Styela clava: one gene and its partner. Each later gene encodes a partner of the first gene's protein in a complex. Links are inferred from orthologs where the notes say so. Each region holds a gene or a part of one and is shown on either strand. Other genes may lie near its edges.

Region 1 (6,963 bases):
AAGCCAAATATTGAGTTTCTGACAAAAAGTTTTGATTCTTTAATCTTTATCATGTTTAATTATAATGAATGTACTCATTTCATCATGTATTTTATATATCTACATCGAATGCTCGTATTTTAGTTATCTTTTGTGGAGTACTGCATGATATTTTGTTTCGGAGTTTTTTGAATTTGGGGATGGTCATTGCTCTGCTGAGACTCTTATCAGCAGCGAGTGGAAGCTGGTGATAATTGTTCAACAAATGTTCTCAATACATAATTATATTAGAACGAATGAATCACTAATTTTAAGCAATATTTCGAAGCAAAACTTAGTGTTCTGTTGGTAACGCGTTGGCATTGCAATCAACTTTTTTTAATAAAATAAAATTTCACCTGTATTTATTGGTACTTGAAAAAGAGTTTTTCATTTTTATTTATTAACATATGCAGCAGAAAATGCAACCTCTTGTGTTTCTGTATTACGGTGTATTACAAAATCTGATTCAAGAATCATGATTAAATGAATAAATATATAAAATTTTATTGAATATAAAAGTAGCGGATGGTTTGCATCAATAAATCGACAGAGTTGCAAGATGTAAATGTAAGCATTCCTATGCGCAACGTTGCATGGATTAGACTCAGATAAGCATGTTGATAAGGGATATAAGCCTATTAGTTACAGCAAGATGGGTTCAAAAAGTTAGTATATTTTAAACTGTGAACTCATGCAGGCTAATTAAAGAATTTCTGCTTCGTGAAATACGCCCAAAGTGAGCTGTGAATGGAAGAGGCATACACGAACTGATCATTCGAAAAATGTCTTTTGTCGACTTGTGTGGTCAAATATATCCGGTAGTGCAAGCGTTCCTAGCATCCTACATTGATACCGTTTCCAATTTAGACTCATCGTTTTAATGGCTGTAATGAACAATTTGAAAGCGCAATTTTGCGGGAATATTCGCACGAAATGTGACATGGTTATTTTATATTGTAAGTAAACCACATTGGTTTCGCACATTCTTTGTACATAAGCAGATCAATAAAAATAATCAAAATTAGAGCCTAGAAAGGAAAAGTACTAGATTATATATCATACAATAATAGCATGCTTCTGCTTCAGCTCTTCAATGACCTACATATAAAATCCCACAGGACCCGGCATTTAAACGCGCAAATACAGTTGCTGATGGTGATTTAAAACCAGAGGCGTTGTGAGATGGCATTATAATTATCACTAACTGCATCATGCAATATTGTATTTTTATATTGCAATTCCATATTTTGCATTACGTAGATACAAAATATCTGAAACTAACAGTGGATAATTAATTTCATAGTTGGTCAATTTAAATTACCTTGCGCCATCCATAACGACGCATGAAACCAAGTAGACAAACTATGAAATATTTGAATAGAACGGAGCGTAATCACGAAAAGAGATCTAAATAACGATTTTGTTCAAATCAAAACATAACTGAATCCTATTTCCCAACACACCCAATGGTGCCATACTGTCGGTGATCATTTTTTGTAAATCCAATCGAAAGCGCAAGCTGATTTTCACATTTATGGAGAACGTTACAGAATGATTTCAGTATACCCTGTGTGATGGTTTTCATTTGCCAAGTGTGAGTTAGTGGGTGGCCGATCAAATTATTTTTTGTTCGGCAGTTCCGGTTCATGTCCTGGTCGGTTTGCATTGTTACATATGCTAGAGCAAGACTATAGAAATGAAATTCTAACATTTTCTATTTCAATCATCAAATTGTCACCGTATTTGTGTTATGCGAAGCGGGAGTCGGGTTTGAAGTATATAATCGAAATTATTTGCCGTATCGACAGGGAAGTCAAAGATATACTCCTGAAAGAAAACTCCTTCCACGAATCTAAAACCGTGAGAAAATGCCATTACGTCCATTTGTTGTGAAAATTGCATTTACCTCCTGGAATTTATTACTGCAATCGCTAATGATTTAGAAACTAAGATTGAAAATTTTAAAGAATCCACCGACAATAGAATAGATGGCTCTTTTACAAGACAAACCGTATAAATTAAATTAAAAAATACCAATCATATTTCAACATATGTGACTATTTTGATACAACTTTGATGCAGATAGGCGTTCAAAAATAGAAAAAATCATAAAACACAAGAGCCAAATATTTACATGACGTTTGTTTTTTACTTAAGACTTCAAGCGTTACCGAAACACGAATCTCAATCCCGCACAAAGTTCGGGTGGTCGGTCACTCGCACAAAATATAACCCCGTGACCGATCATAGGTTACATTTTATAACTGTTTGAACAACAGCTTTGATCATATACACACATTAAACAAGGTCGTCGTCCGAGACTGAAGACTTTATGTCCAGGGTCATGTCATGTATGTTGTTATATCATTTGTTTGTTTATATACGTAATGCTAGAAATCGTCAAAGTTTAAAAATAAAACATACGAGCGAAGAAATTCTTGGTTGCACTGTTCAATGAACGGACACATAGGTAAAGCTGAAATCCAACATGATTTGATTTGTAATCCTTTATAGACACAATACATCAGAGGCCATTGCCCATAGAGTACGAGATCCAAAGGCACTTGAAATCGGCTAACATTTGTTATCGCAAATGCAATTTAGGAACCTGAATCCAAATGTGTTGAAAGGGTTCTTATATGGGAAGTCAAAGTCCAGTCTTTTGTAATAGAGATTGCAGCCGATTAAATTAAATTACTCAGAACAGTCTACTCACCAAATTCAAGTCTTGTGTGGCGAGGCATGTGGCAATTGCCAATGTGGCAAAAACGCCAAGCCATAACATATCCATTTCGGATAAATCCTCTTGGTAATTGCTTCTTAGATTTCTCTTATATCCTTATTGTTGATTATAAAAAGGTCTATCGTAAGCAGATTTCTCTTAATCACAAAACATACAAGCGAACTTTATATTTTGAGTCCCTCTTGGCGATACTCCTAACTTAATTACGTTATCTGGTTATTTAAAACTAAATATATAATATAAAATTCAAGCTGACAAAATTGAGTCTTCGACTAGCGTTTATATCGTGTTTTACTCCCGAGAACGCCCGGAGAATTATCTTCCATTCGCCGGGATTTATGGTAGTGTGCTTGCTGCGATGTAACCAACACAGGACTGTGTAAATCAAATTAAAGATAACATCGTTAAGCGATCTTAATTAAGCCTTAACCGTTGAGGAACTCGCCAATTAATTTCGGAAAATGTCTGGGAATTAGTGCCGATGGATTTATAAAACACTACGCTACTTTTAGCCTCAAACTACGAAACCTATCCCAACTGAAAATTCACTAAAGCAGAACTCTAGCTTATTTGTAGTGAAATGAATAGCTTGGAAGAAGAATATTTTTGTACGGCGTTACAACGGGAATTGTACTTTGCAACTTGGTCGACTATGCTAAAGTTACAGCTGATGAGATAATAGCGAAGGCTATTTTGGAGCGCTGACTCATACTCTACGAATTTAGTCTGTCGTGTTGCACAAGAGCTACATTTCTACTGAACTGGCTTCGAGAATTGCCACAAAAGCACCATGTTGGCGACCGTATTACTAGCTTTATACAATAGAGGTCAACAACGTACTAATCCTGCTTTAACAATGTCGTAAACTGCCACCGTCGACGACAACTCACGAAGTGTGACCAAATATACGGTGCCAAGCATTTTCTTCGTCGCGTCGCCGTTTTTTCTTCTTCGAGGCGCGGCTACGTTAACCTGGTTTATTTAGTCGCGTTTGCCCCGTCGTTTATATTTGCAATGTAAACGTCCGATGAGAACGTACTTTATCGTCCGCCGGTAACAGATCAGACGGTACGTTTCCGTTCCGCAACTCCGTCGCCGCCGTCTTATGAATAGGCTGAGATTTAGCTCCCTGATGGGCGACGGCGTGTACTGGGTCAATATAAATCCCATTTCGTCCGACCTTGAAATATCTAGTATATTGCGATTATACTACTGTTATTTAAAGAAGAATTTATGAGAAATTCTATACTTTTCCGGGATGAACCACAAATAAGTAAGAGTTTTCAAACAAAATTTGAAAATATTTGAATGTGATAACTGTCAAAATTGCTTCGTTAATTATTTTTAAAAAAAAATGTCCATTCGTAGAGTCTTTACCCACATCTGGACAAAGATAGTTCAAGACTGATTATTCTTAAATTAGCTGGTAAATATCAGAGGTAGTTACCAATTCTCCACGCAGATCAAAATACAAATAATTGATTCTTTTCAGGCGATAAGCTATATTCATTCACCACATTATTCGAATGCAATAATTTTCATGAAATTAACCAAAAACGAGATTTTACAAACCATGACACTTGGTATTTTTGCTAGCTTAATCAGTACATCGAGTTTGATAGAAAATCCACATAATTTGGCACTGATGTACGATTGAGGCAGCCAATTGTCGGTAAAAATGAATGGAAAGTTTCAGTATATATATATATATATATATATATATACTTGAAGCAGATCTATAAGGAAGCGTAAAGTGACCTAAAACGAAATATAGTTAGGACAATCGCTTGTATTACTGCTTTAGTTATAACAATTGTTGTAGAGTCTAATGCAATTATTTGTGTAAAAGTTCGTCTCAAATGTATCTGAATCTGAACTTTGAAACCGAAATTAATCATCGCAGTATCCCATCATATCTTGCTCGCCTATTTTATGCTCAGTTGTCTCGAATGTAAGTGTATCTTTGCTCTAAATGAATCATCATAGTTTACCATCATATATAAAACCTTGTGTGTATAAGATGATATGGCTAACAAGCGGGTCTTTCTATGACATTTGGCTGACGTTAGGCTGTCGTATTGAAGCTCTGAGGATAAAAAATAAAATCGAAAATGTTTAATTATTTCAACTTCAATATTGTACACCAGTGGTTCCCAAACTTCTTTGTACTGTGACGCCCTCCGAAAAATATACTTATGTTGCGACTCCCCATGAAAACGTCATATGACCTTTCAATAAAAGAACTTTTTTGCAATGAGTTTCATTTAAACCAGGGGTGGCCAACCTATGGCGCATGCGCCAAACGTGGCGCATTGCATGATTAGAGGTGGCGCATTGCATCTTTAACCCTTTTCATGCCAAAATTGTTAATTGCACTTGGCTTCTCCACGCCAAGCCGTTTTTTGCGATTTACATGGTGACTTTTGATTGTACCTAAAATCTATTCTCCTTACTCCACGCCGCCCACTTACGGCTTGTTGGAATTAGAAACAACAGGCGATTATCGACGTTAGCTTTTGGACGGACTTTATGACATTCATTCTAGACTTTCAGCAAAAGTTAGTAAAATTTACTATTTTTTCCCTACTGAAGTAAAAAGTTCAGAACTTCTGGAAAAATAGAAAATCGTCATTTATCAGCTTGAAACATAGATTTTCCATTGCCCAGACTCCCCAAATATCTCCCAATAACCATTGAACAACCAGTTGAATTGCCCAAGCCAAAAAAATTTATTATAAATCAACCCACAACATGCTGAAAATGACCCCTAAATACCACCTTTTTCATCCAAACTTCAAATGACCGTTGTCAACAAAAGCGAAGCGTAAAATCGCTTGCTGTGACGCAAGTACTAATCTCGAAGAAGCCTGGAGTAAAATCACGCGACGCTAGGCCAAAAAGCTTCTTAATCGTATCTTTTTCTCTTCGTCGTTAAAAACAGATTTATTGCGTAATGCTCATAAGACAGAATGCGTTTTTCTCCTACTTTCAAAAAGGCTGTAGTTTTTACTTGAAGCATGGCGTCACAATGGTTCCTTGTTTCGTAATCAATCGTAATCTGTTTATCGTAAATTGCTCGAATTTTTGCGTTTGCGTTTTATTATACTTCCTTGCTTAATTTCTATTCATGTGAAGTTGTAAAAACTACATATATGTGTGTATATATGTATGTGTATTATAAATTAATATAATTTCAACAAGAAGTGGACATTAGGCGTGGGAATACAAGAGAATGAAGAGATTTACGGCGCATCTGAAACATTATGTTTAAAACGTGGCGCATGGTATGTGAAAGGTTGACCACCCCTGATTTAAACGGACAAGAAAAACTTGACGAAAGTCAGTAAAATCTCATTTAATGTGCATGTACTTGCGTCTTTTTACAATTGTTATATGTTATTGAACCTTGGGGTGAATTGTGACAGCTGCACACATTTTTCCAAAATTTACTCAAAATCGATATTTTTTCTTTATTACGCCATGGTAGAAAAGCTTGTTTCACATAAATACGAAGAAGGGGTGAGAGTACGCAACCAAGGAAAGATAATCTTTATCCAAAAAATTCCAAAAACTCGGTAAATTTTAGGAAATATAATTATTTTTTATATCGATTCCGTTTAACAAAATGGCAACGAAAAGCCGGAATGTGTTGTTTGTAGCAAGGATTTGGCCAGTGAAACCATGTTACCTAACAAAAACGAAGGAGCCTTTTTACTCGGAACTTCAACGATACTAAGTACAAGTAGCTTCCATCATACTTGCGAAAATTCTCGACTTTTCTCGTGCAGTATCATTTTTACGCTTGTACATTTATTTCTGCAGTGCAATTTTATAATTAGACTTTTGCTACGCACCGCAAAACAGGTATAATTCCGCAAGAGAAGAAAGTTTTACGACCGCCGAGCAAAATTGTAACGACGCACTTTGAAAACCACGGTTGTACACGAACCTATGTCAGAAGTAGTATCGTTCGAAATGATATCACAGCGGGATCTTTCGCTACTGGATCGTGTTATCGTGACTTATTTGCATTCTCACGCGATCGGAGTTTATTTTTTATCTTTGCATGTGTATGATACTGAGCGTACATGAAATACAAACATGAATATTTGCCAGTTAGTACTCCAGCTGAGTCAATCATCAATATTTTAGGTTTTCCAAACAGAAGACTTTAACTAGGCCTTCGACACTAAATTGTG
Region 2 (7,614 bases), on another chromosome or scaffold:
CATTAGGTTTCTACTCTGGATAAACTTGCTACAACTTGTAAGTCATTTTGTTTTGCCAATATCAGGTTTGCTTTTAAATATATTTATATTTATGCAATTCAGGCAATAAAAGATAGTTGGATAATAGTACAGGGGTTCTGCGAGCCTCTGGGTTGTTTCATTGGGGTTCCGTGCCACCATAAAAAGTTGAAAACCACTGCTTTAATGTGAATCAATTCATAATCAAATTTACTCCTGTTTTCTCTGATACAAATCATCACCAGATAGGTTTTGCTAAAACCTAGCCCTGATAGTCTTAATGGTTAATTCCCAATAATCTAAATAAATTGATTAGTTGATTAGAATATTAATAACTAATTTCTATAATAAATTTCTTTCGATTATTGTCATTTCATTTCCAAGCTCTTGTGTGATGTATATTCTTACCCTCATTGTTAAATTTAAATAGTTGAACTTTTTTATTTTATTCATGTATCCTAGATTCAACTGCTTTTTTGCTTTTAATTGCATTATGTGTTGTCACTACCTATTTATAATTATAATTGTGGTGCTTGAATAACATGTTGTCACCTTCATTATGATAACATCATTTTTTTTATGTATTTTACTAAGCACTTTTAAACGGAATTCATTATTGTCTCATTTATTATTGTTGTCCACTGTTTTCATCTATGTTCGTGTTCACATACAAATCCTTTCACCTGTGTCCGAAATTATCACTGTTTTTACCATAAAATACTGTTAAGTACTTCATTTATCAGGTCCTAAATTGGTAGGTTATTCATAACCAATGTCAACCAGTGGCGTGTCAAAATGATTGCCAGATAAGTGTTCATTTTCAAAATGTTTGCCTCATTGAATTACAATTTTACGTCTTCACCCTCTTGAAAAGTGTTCTGACAATTGCCTTGTTTCTTCAGTTTTTGTTTTTTGGCTAATTGGTACACCAGTGTTTTTTTTCTTTTCTTAAATTGCCGTTATAGGTACTTGCCACTATGTTGCTAATTCACCTGTGAAACTTCCACATACACAAATCCCGCATGTTTCAGCATTGTACGTTTTCTTCTGGTTTGTTTTTATCATTTGAATTGTAATCAATTGCTTAAAATTAAGTGTGATGAAAATATATTGCTTGATTTGCTAGTATAATTTTCTTTACAGGATATTTAAACATTCAGCTTAGAAATGGACAAATATTTTCGCTTGACATTCAGTAGAAATTTACTCTTATGATGTTATAGTTAGTTAGTTTATCAGTCAGCTGACTAAAACGCTTTCACCGTACGTCAAAAGCTGATCGAGGTTGTGATAATGGTGATGGTTTAGGCATGGCCGAACGGCATATGAAAATAGCATATATGCAAAAATTGAAACCTGGTGTATCAGATCCTACAGAGATTTCATTCGCAACTAACAATGAAAACGTAGCGTAATGTGCATTATAAATTAGCCGGTATATTTATACGCATCGCTGTTGGTGTCGAAATATACCCGAAACGACTATAGGATTTTCCTGTTGGATGGAGATCAAATAATTCTTTCATAATATGAAGGTGCCCAGTTGTAAGTTTGTGAATATTACATCACCAGATAAAAGCTGAACGTAGCCGGACAGCGATACGAGAGCTTTTCGGTCCCAACAAGTGGCCTTACGATCCTTTTTCGTCCTATCAGAACTACACGTTTTCCTTATGCACATTGTGAATTTTGTCAACTTTTATTTTAACGTTTGGAATTAATGTTGATATGTAAAGCTATGCCGCCCATCGGCGCGGCTCTCTGAGGATCGTGTTAAGCACTGTTCGAGAGGTTGCTGCACTTTTTGCCATCGTAGTACTGGGGTAGGTTGTTCACGTATACGCTGACCGGTTACGTCTCCCTCCCTTATTTTTACCTAAATATTAATGTGGATGTGTGAAAAAATGCCCACCACGACATCTCGCGGCTATTATTTTGCCTAACGCACGACTTTATTATTTAGAATTTGGGTGGTGCTCGTGTTGGTGATTGAGCAGCATCTGGAAGATTCCTCAGGCTAATTTTCAAGTTGAAATTTGGTGAGTTTTTTCTTTTAAATATCTGTTTTCGTTAGTATTAAAACTATTTTTTACTTATTTCATTAACACAGCAGAACCTTATTTTATGTTTTTGGGGTTTAGGCATCACTTCATCAGTCTGTCAGTTGTTTTTTCATACCATAATTTTGCTCTTAAAGTGAAGGGTATTTCAGCGTGGGGCAGCAAACTTTGACTGTTTATCAAATTTTGAATCATACTATTTCATTAATGAACCGCTACCAATAAGACCAATTTTGTTATAGTACTTAAGTTAGGATGGAGTCAAATATAGAAATTGTATCTTACTAGAGACACCGATTATTTATTGAACTGGCCACTTTAAAAAGACCTTGAGCATTTTGGCTAAGACCAAGATTGTCGATTCAGGTAATCTTTACTGCTATACCGTAATCTGGAAGAGCTGGGTATGTTTATGCTAAATCATCGATTTTTTCTCTGTGTTACCTAAGTACCCTTTCTACTAAAAAAACTGCTCAATATAATAGGCTTTCAAATCTATTCCTATTCGATATTTGCAGTGGGAGATACGACATCTAATGAATTGTTGGGCCAATTACCAAAACTACAATGAATAAATCAAATGCCAAATCGAATGAATATCAATTATGACTAGTCTGGAATAAGGTTTTAGATTATAATGTCTCAAAAATGGGGCATATTGTTTCTAAATTACGAAGACAGAGTATTGGTGATGGAGAATTGAATTTGGTATATAATAGTCATGTTAGATAAATTTATTATCAAGATTATATGAAGATCCTCCCCCAAATCTGGGGGGGGGTCTTCGTATGATCAACCCCAACCATATGATCTAGCCGGCGAGTGGGAGATTCGCACTTCATTAGTAGACCTGTTATTTAGTTACTAAATGTAATCTAAAACATATGTTGTCATGAACAAATATTTGATATGAAGAAAATTGGCACATTATAAGGCTTACTTTTATCACTAGAATCTTCAGTCTGAACAAAGATACGAGTCAGATCAGAGTCATTTTTTAGTTTTTCCTAGTTACCCAAAGATACAGTGGCTGTAATTTAGGCTACACAAGTCATGTGTGTTGACTCATTCAATAAAATAGGCTCTGAGGTTTTACTAGTGTAATCTTTGAGAAAATATCCCAAACATCATTGGATTACTTATAAAATTGTAAAAATTCCAATAATGACTTCTACAAGATGATTGCTCAAACTAATTTTTTGAAAAATTGAAAAAATGGAAACAATTCATAAGTTCCCATTCAATCCAAAATATCATTAAAGGTGTAGAGTTGATTCCAAGTATATAGTTGTCGAATAATTCCCATGATGAAGTTAATTTTTATTCCACCAAAAAATTAGCATGCTGTGTAGCTCTTTTCCATCCATGAAGACCACAAATTAAGTTTTTACATATTGTAAGAATAGGAAAAAATTACAATAAAAAGAAAACCAACACCAGACATTAAATGATACGACAGCAACATTATCTGTTAAATCATCAATTCAATATAATATATTAACCCTTTTTTTTATGTTACTACAATATCATTTCTTTGCAAATAAATAACTTTCAGATAATAATGGAAAAGAAAAATATAAAACTTAACTTATACCTTTTGAGCAAGATTTTGTTTTGTGACCTTATGACCTTGGTAAACTCTTAAATTCACCAGTAACATTTAATTTCATCTAGTTTAAAAAAAAACTTGTTTCTTTATATTTATTATTCTTGCTGACATTGCTCATTTTATATCGATATTGGAAATTATATACAGCCGGTATATACGTATATATATACGCTATGTTTTACGCAGAGGACTTACACCTGCTCAATCGACTTTATTAGTAATCCTGACGACATATTTGTAGTTAATAATAACTCAATATAATAATACCAAAACAGTGAAACTTCCAAAATGATACTCCTATGCGACATTGAACCGGCATAACGAAATAACGGTTATTAGTTGATATGTTGTGATGCGGATAAACCTCGACGCAAAATTATAGACATGATCGGCGATGTTTTGCTTTTGTATATCTTTCGTCGCACACACAAAATCCTCACCCTTGAAAGCACCTTTTAAACAGCCCACTCCCGTGTTGACACGGCATTGAATCTGAATAACTCTAATTTTGTAAAGTTGTCTTTAAGCCGCGAACTCATGCGCGATTGTTACAGAATATCAATATTACGATTTCTGAATCGAAATGTCGCTGCAATAGTTCTTCTAGCTGTCTAATAGTTTTCGATAACGTATTAATTAAGTGAATTATTACGTTGTCTGCGAGTCAACTGCCATATTTGGCTTCTTAAAAATGCTTCGTTTTGTCGAGTGATCGAAAGGCCTAGTGTTTTATTGGGAGATAAGGTATGTTTAACTGAATTAAATAAGTTAAAAATTAATGAAGCGCTTTGGGCGAGAAAGATTTCAGATACCGATATCTAGTTACAACGTACCGTAGTTTTATTGTCCTAGTTCATGTTTGAAGCGATAGGTCGGTGTTATCCCGGTCCGACGCTTGTCGCCTATAGGCAAACATTTACGACGATAGTTTTATTTCGCAAACCCAATATCGTCGTTCGACTTTCGAAATTCCACGATACGGAACATCGAATTCTTTTATTTACTCGACGCTCAAAGCGGGGAAGGTGTGGCCTCTTGAAGCTCTTGTAAGCGCATACTCGATCAAAAAGTTAGCAGCCGTTGTTTTTTCCCGTGCAGGGCGCTCTGTTAAAATTGTATAATAAATACTTTTTGTGGCATCGTCTGTCGGTGTATGAGGTCATAGTGAGACGGTGAAAACAAATCCTCAACCAATGGCAAGTTTGGAAGGGAAGTCGCGTAATATGACGCTTGAAATAAACGAGTCCAATTTGTTTCAGAGAAGGAAAGAGTCGCCAAGGGATCCACATGTAAATGGAGAAGGAAGGTGTTTATTTTGTTACTCGCAATTTTGCATTTATTTTGATATGTTTTCTGTCGAGCGATTTGTCTAGGAATATATGACAGGAAATACGTCGATCGTCTTGATTCGGCGCATTCGTGACAATTTATCAATTTATTATTAAAAGGGAGTTTATGATTAGTAATCTATAACACGATTGTATATGTCGATATATTAGGCCGTTATAGCAATAGGCGCCTGGTGATACGTAACGGTCGAATTGTAGCTTGTTTTGATAGGTTTTTCCGTTCCTTGTATGGAGTTCGGGTGTGAATGATATGGCTACAAAGCTGGTTCATGTTTGCGTTCAGGCCTGAAGAACCACCAACGCCAATGTTTAGCCGACGTAAAACAAATTTTTAATTAACTGATATCGTTTTTCGAAATGACAGGCGGTACTCGTGCTACAAGATGTAATATGGATTAGTATGATTGTGTTAATCATGAACATAATATGAAATTTAAAATTAAAATTAGAGAATGATACTTTTAGCATACTTTTGAGAACAAATTGTGTTATATAACTGATTTTTGCGAAGATATAAAGGGAATTCAATGATGCTAGAAACCGATGCTTATTCATAGGGTGTGAATTGGATAGCTGAGGTGTAAAGGAGGGAATAGTAGCTGTTACTTAGAAATGATTCATTTGCCCAGAGACCACTATTGCTTTATTACTGCGATACGTTACTCTTTGACAACATTGTATAAATAACCTGTTATTTATATTGGTCTAATCTAAATCAATTGAAAGATTCAACTATTTGGCAATAGTAAAAGTTTTTTATCAAATTTAACAAACATCTCGATAAGTATCAGCTAATATAAAAATGTTTAGATTTGAACTTTGTCTGGGTATCTTAGTTACAAAAATTTAAACTTATTAAAGTGTTTGTACTGATTAGTAGTTCATGGTATTAATTGTTTTTAAATCTAATTATTGTCATTTGTGACAGTTTTTTCCATAGAGCTGTAAAATGATCCCTCCTGAAAGATGGTCACATTGAGACAGTAACATTGAAGTTTTTTCTTTTTATATATTCCTATTTTGTCTCGAAGCTGTGTACTCTTATTCATTAGCTGTAACACTAATATTGCTAACCATCAATCGGCTTTATCATCTTTCTATAGGCGGAAAAATCTTTTGTTTCATTTATCAGCAAGAAATGTAGTTTTCATAATTGTAATGTTTTCTATTTTTTTCATTTTTTAGCGTGATGATGTCCATACAGCTTGCGAATGCCGTGTGTATTCGTTGTGAAAGAGGATTTTCAGAACAAGAACAAATGGTCAATTCTAATGGTGAAATATATCATGAAGATTGCTTTGTTTGTGCCCAATGTTTCGACAAATTTCCTGAAGGATTATTTTATGAGGTAAAGATTATATAAAAAGCGGTGATGGATAGAAGTACCTAAACTCTTAATCGCGAGTCACAAGTCGTCCGACTCCGAATTCAATCATAAATATCTGATTGGTATAATTTTTAACTCTTCTCTTATTTTATTTTTAGTATGATGGAGTAAAGTATTGTGAACATGATTTTCACATGTTATTTGCACCATGCTGTGGAAAATGTGGTAAGTTCTATTCCACCCAGTTCTTGTAAATCTTATTCACTTTACCATGGTGTACTGCGGAATTCAAACCTTATAAAAAGTTTTTGTGACGTCATAGGTTTTTTTATCTATTTATTTATTTTTTTATTTATAAATTATGGAATCGCAATATTATTCGGATTATTGCCCCTCGCTAATGAACTAAATAACACTTGTAATATTAGTTTATGAGAAGTTTATGACAATTAAAATATCAATGAAGAAGTCACCGATTTGATGGAACTATATAGCAGAAGTCAACATAATATATTTTTAACCTTATAACAACTTGCTTTTGATAGTCATATTACCCATGATTTGTGCTTTCGATTGAGTTTTTACGGGACTAGTTACTTATTCTTCTTTTATGCTTTTGGGTTGATGGATCCCTATGCATATAAAGCAAGGGAGGATCTTGCTGCTCACTAACACAAATAAATTTCTGTAATTTTTCGTGTATCAAGACTTGAATTACTTTGGATAGTAACCCATAATTGTTATTAATAAATTACCATTTAAAATAGTCACATGTTTCGAAATGGATGCCTTTAAACCAGATCTTTTTCATTTAGAGGAATTTATCATCGGAAGAGTAATCAAAGCAATGAACAATAATTGGCATCCTGCATGCTTCACTTGCCAGCTATGTGATGCCACTCTTGCTGATATTGGATTTGTCAAAAATCAGGGCAGAAGTTTATGCAGGCCTTGTCACAACAGAGAAAAGGCATTGGGACTTGGAAAATATGTTTGCCAAAAATGCCAGTAAGTAACACAGCGCCACGTGGTGGTCTACTGGTAAACTGCGAGGGCATTGCATGTAGATGTCCCGTGGTCCATATTTCATTTCACCATCTCACCTATGGTGTGAAGAATTGGAAAGGCAATGCCGAACCGAGTTGTCTATCTACGCAAAATGGTGCCCTTGTCAAATCTTAAAAATGTGCCTTCTTGATTAATTGATATACAATTTTTAACGACTGTTGTTGAATTGAGGAGATACTTGTA

What was found.
Region 2: basement membrane-specific heparan sulfate proteoglycan core protein-like (region 1) and LIM and senescent cell antigen-like-containing domain protein 1 share a complex: the UniProt entries of both Caenorhabditis elegans proteins name them as parts of the integrin containing attachment complex. The link is inferred for Styela clava from reciprocal best matches to the Caenorhabditis elegans genes unc-52 and unc-97.

The regions. Positions count from the first base shown.
Region 1 is NC_135251.1:19,815,018-19,821,980, reverse strand, and holds the start of basement membrane-specific heparan sulfate proteoglycan core protein-like, read right to left. Parts: upstream 3,005-6,963; 5' UTR 2,813-3,004; coding exon 2,738-2,812; intron 1-2,737. UniProt on the Caenorhabditis elegans protein: Component of an integrin containing attachment complex, which is required for muscle development and maintenance. Probable structural role in myofilament assembly and/or attachment of the myofilament lattice to the cell membrane.
Region 2 is NC_135256.1:11,039,471-11,047,084, reverse strand, and holds the start of LIM and senescent cell antigen-like-containing domain protein 1, read left to right. Parts: upstream 1-4,586; 5' UTR 4,587-4,880; coding exon 4,881-4,993; intron 4,994-6,221; coding exon 6,222-6,384; intron 6,385-6,521; coding exon 6,522-6,588; intron 6,589-7,178; coding exon 7,179-7,371; intron 7,372-7,614. UniProt on the Caenorhabditis elegans protein: Component of an integrin containing attachment complex, which is required for muscle development and maintenance. Probably function in adherens junction.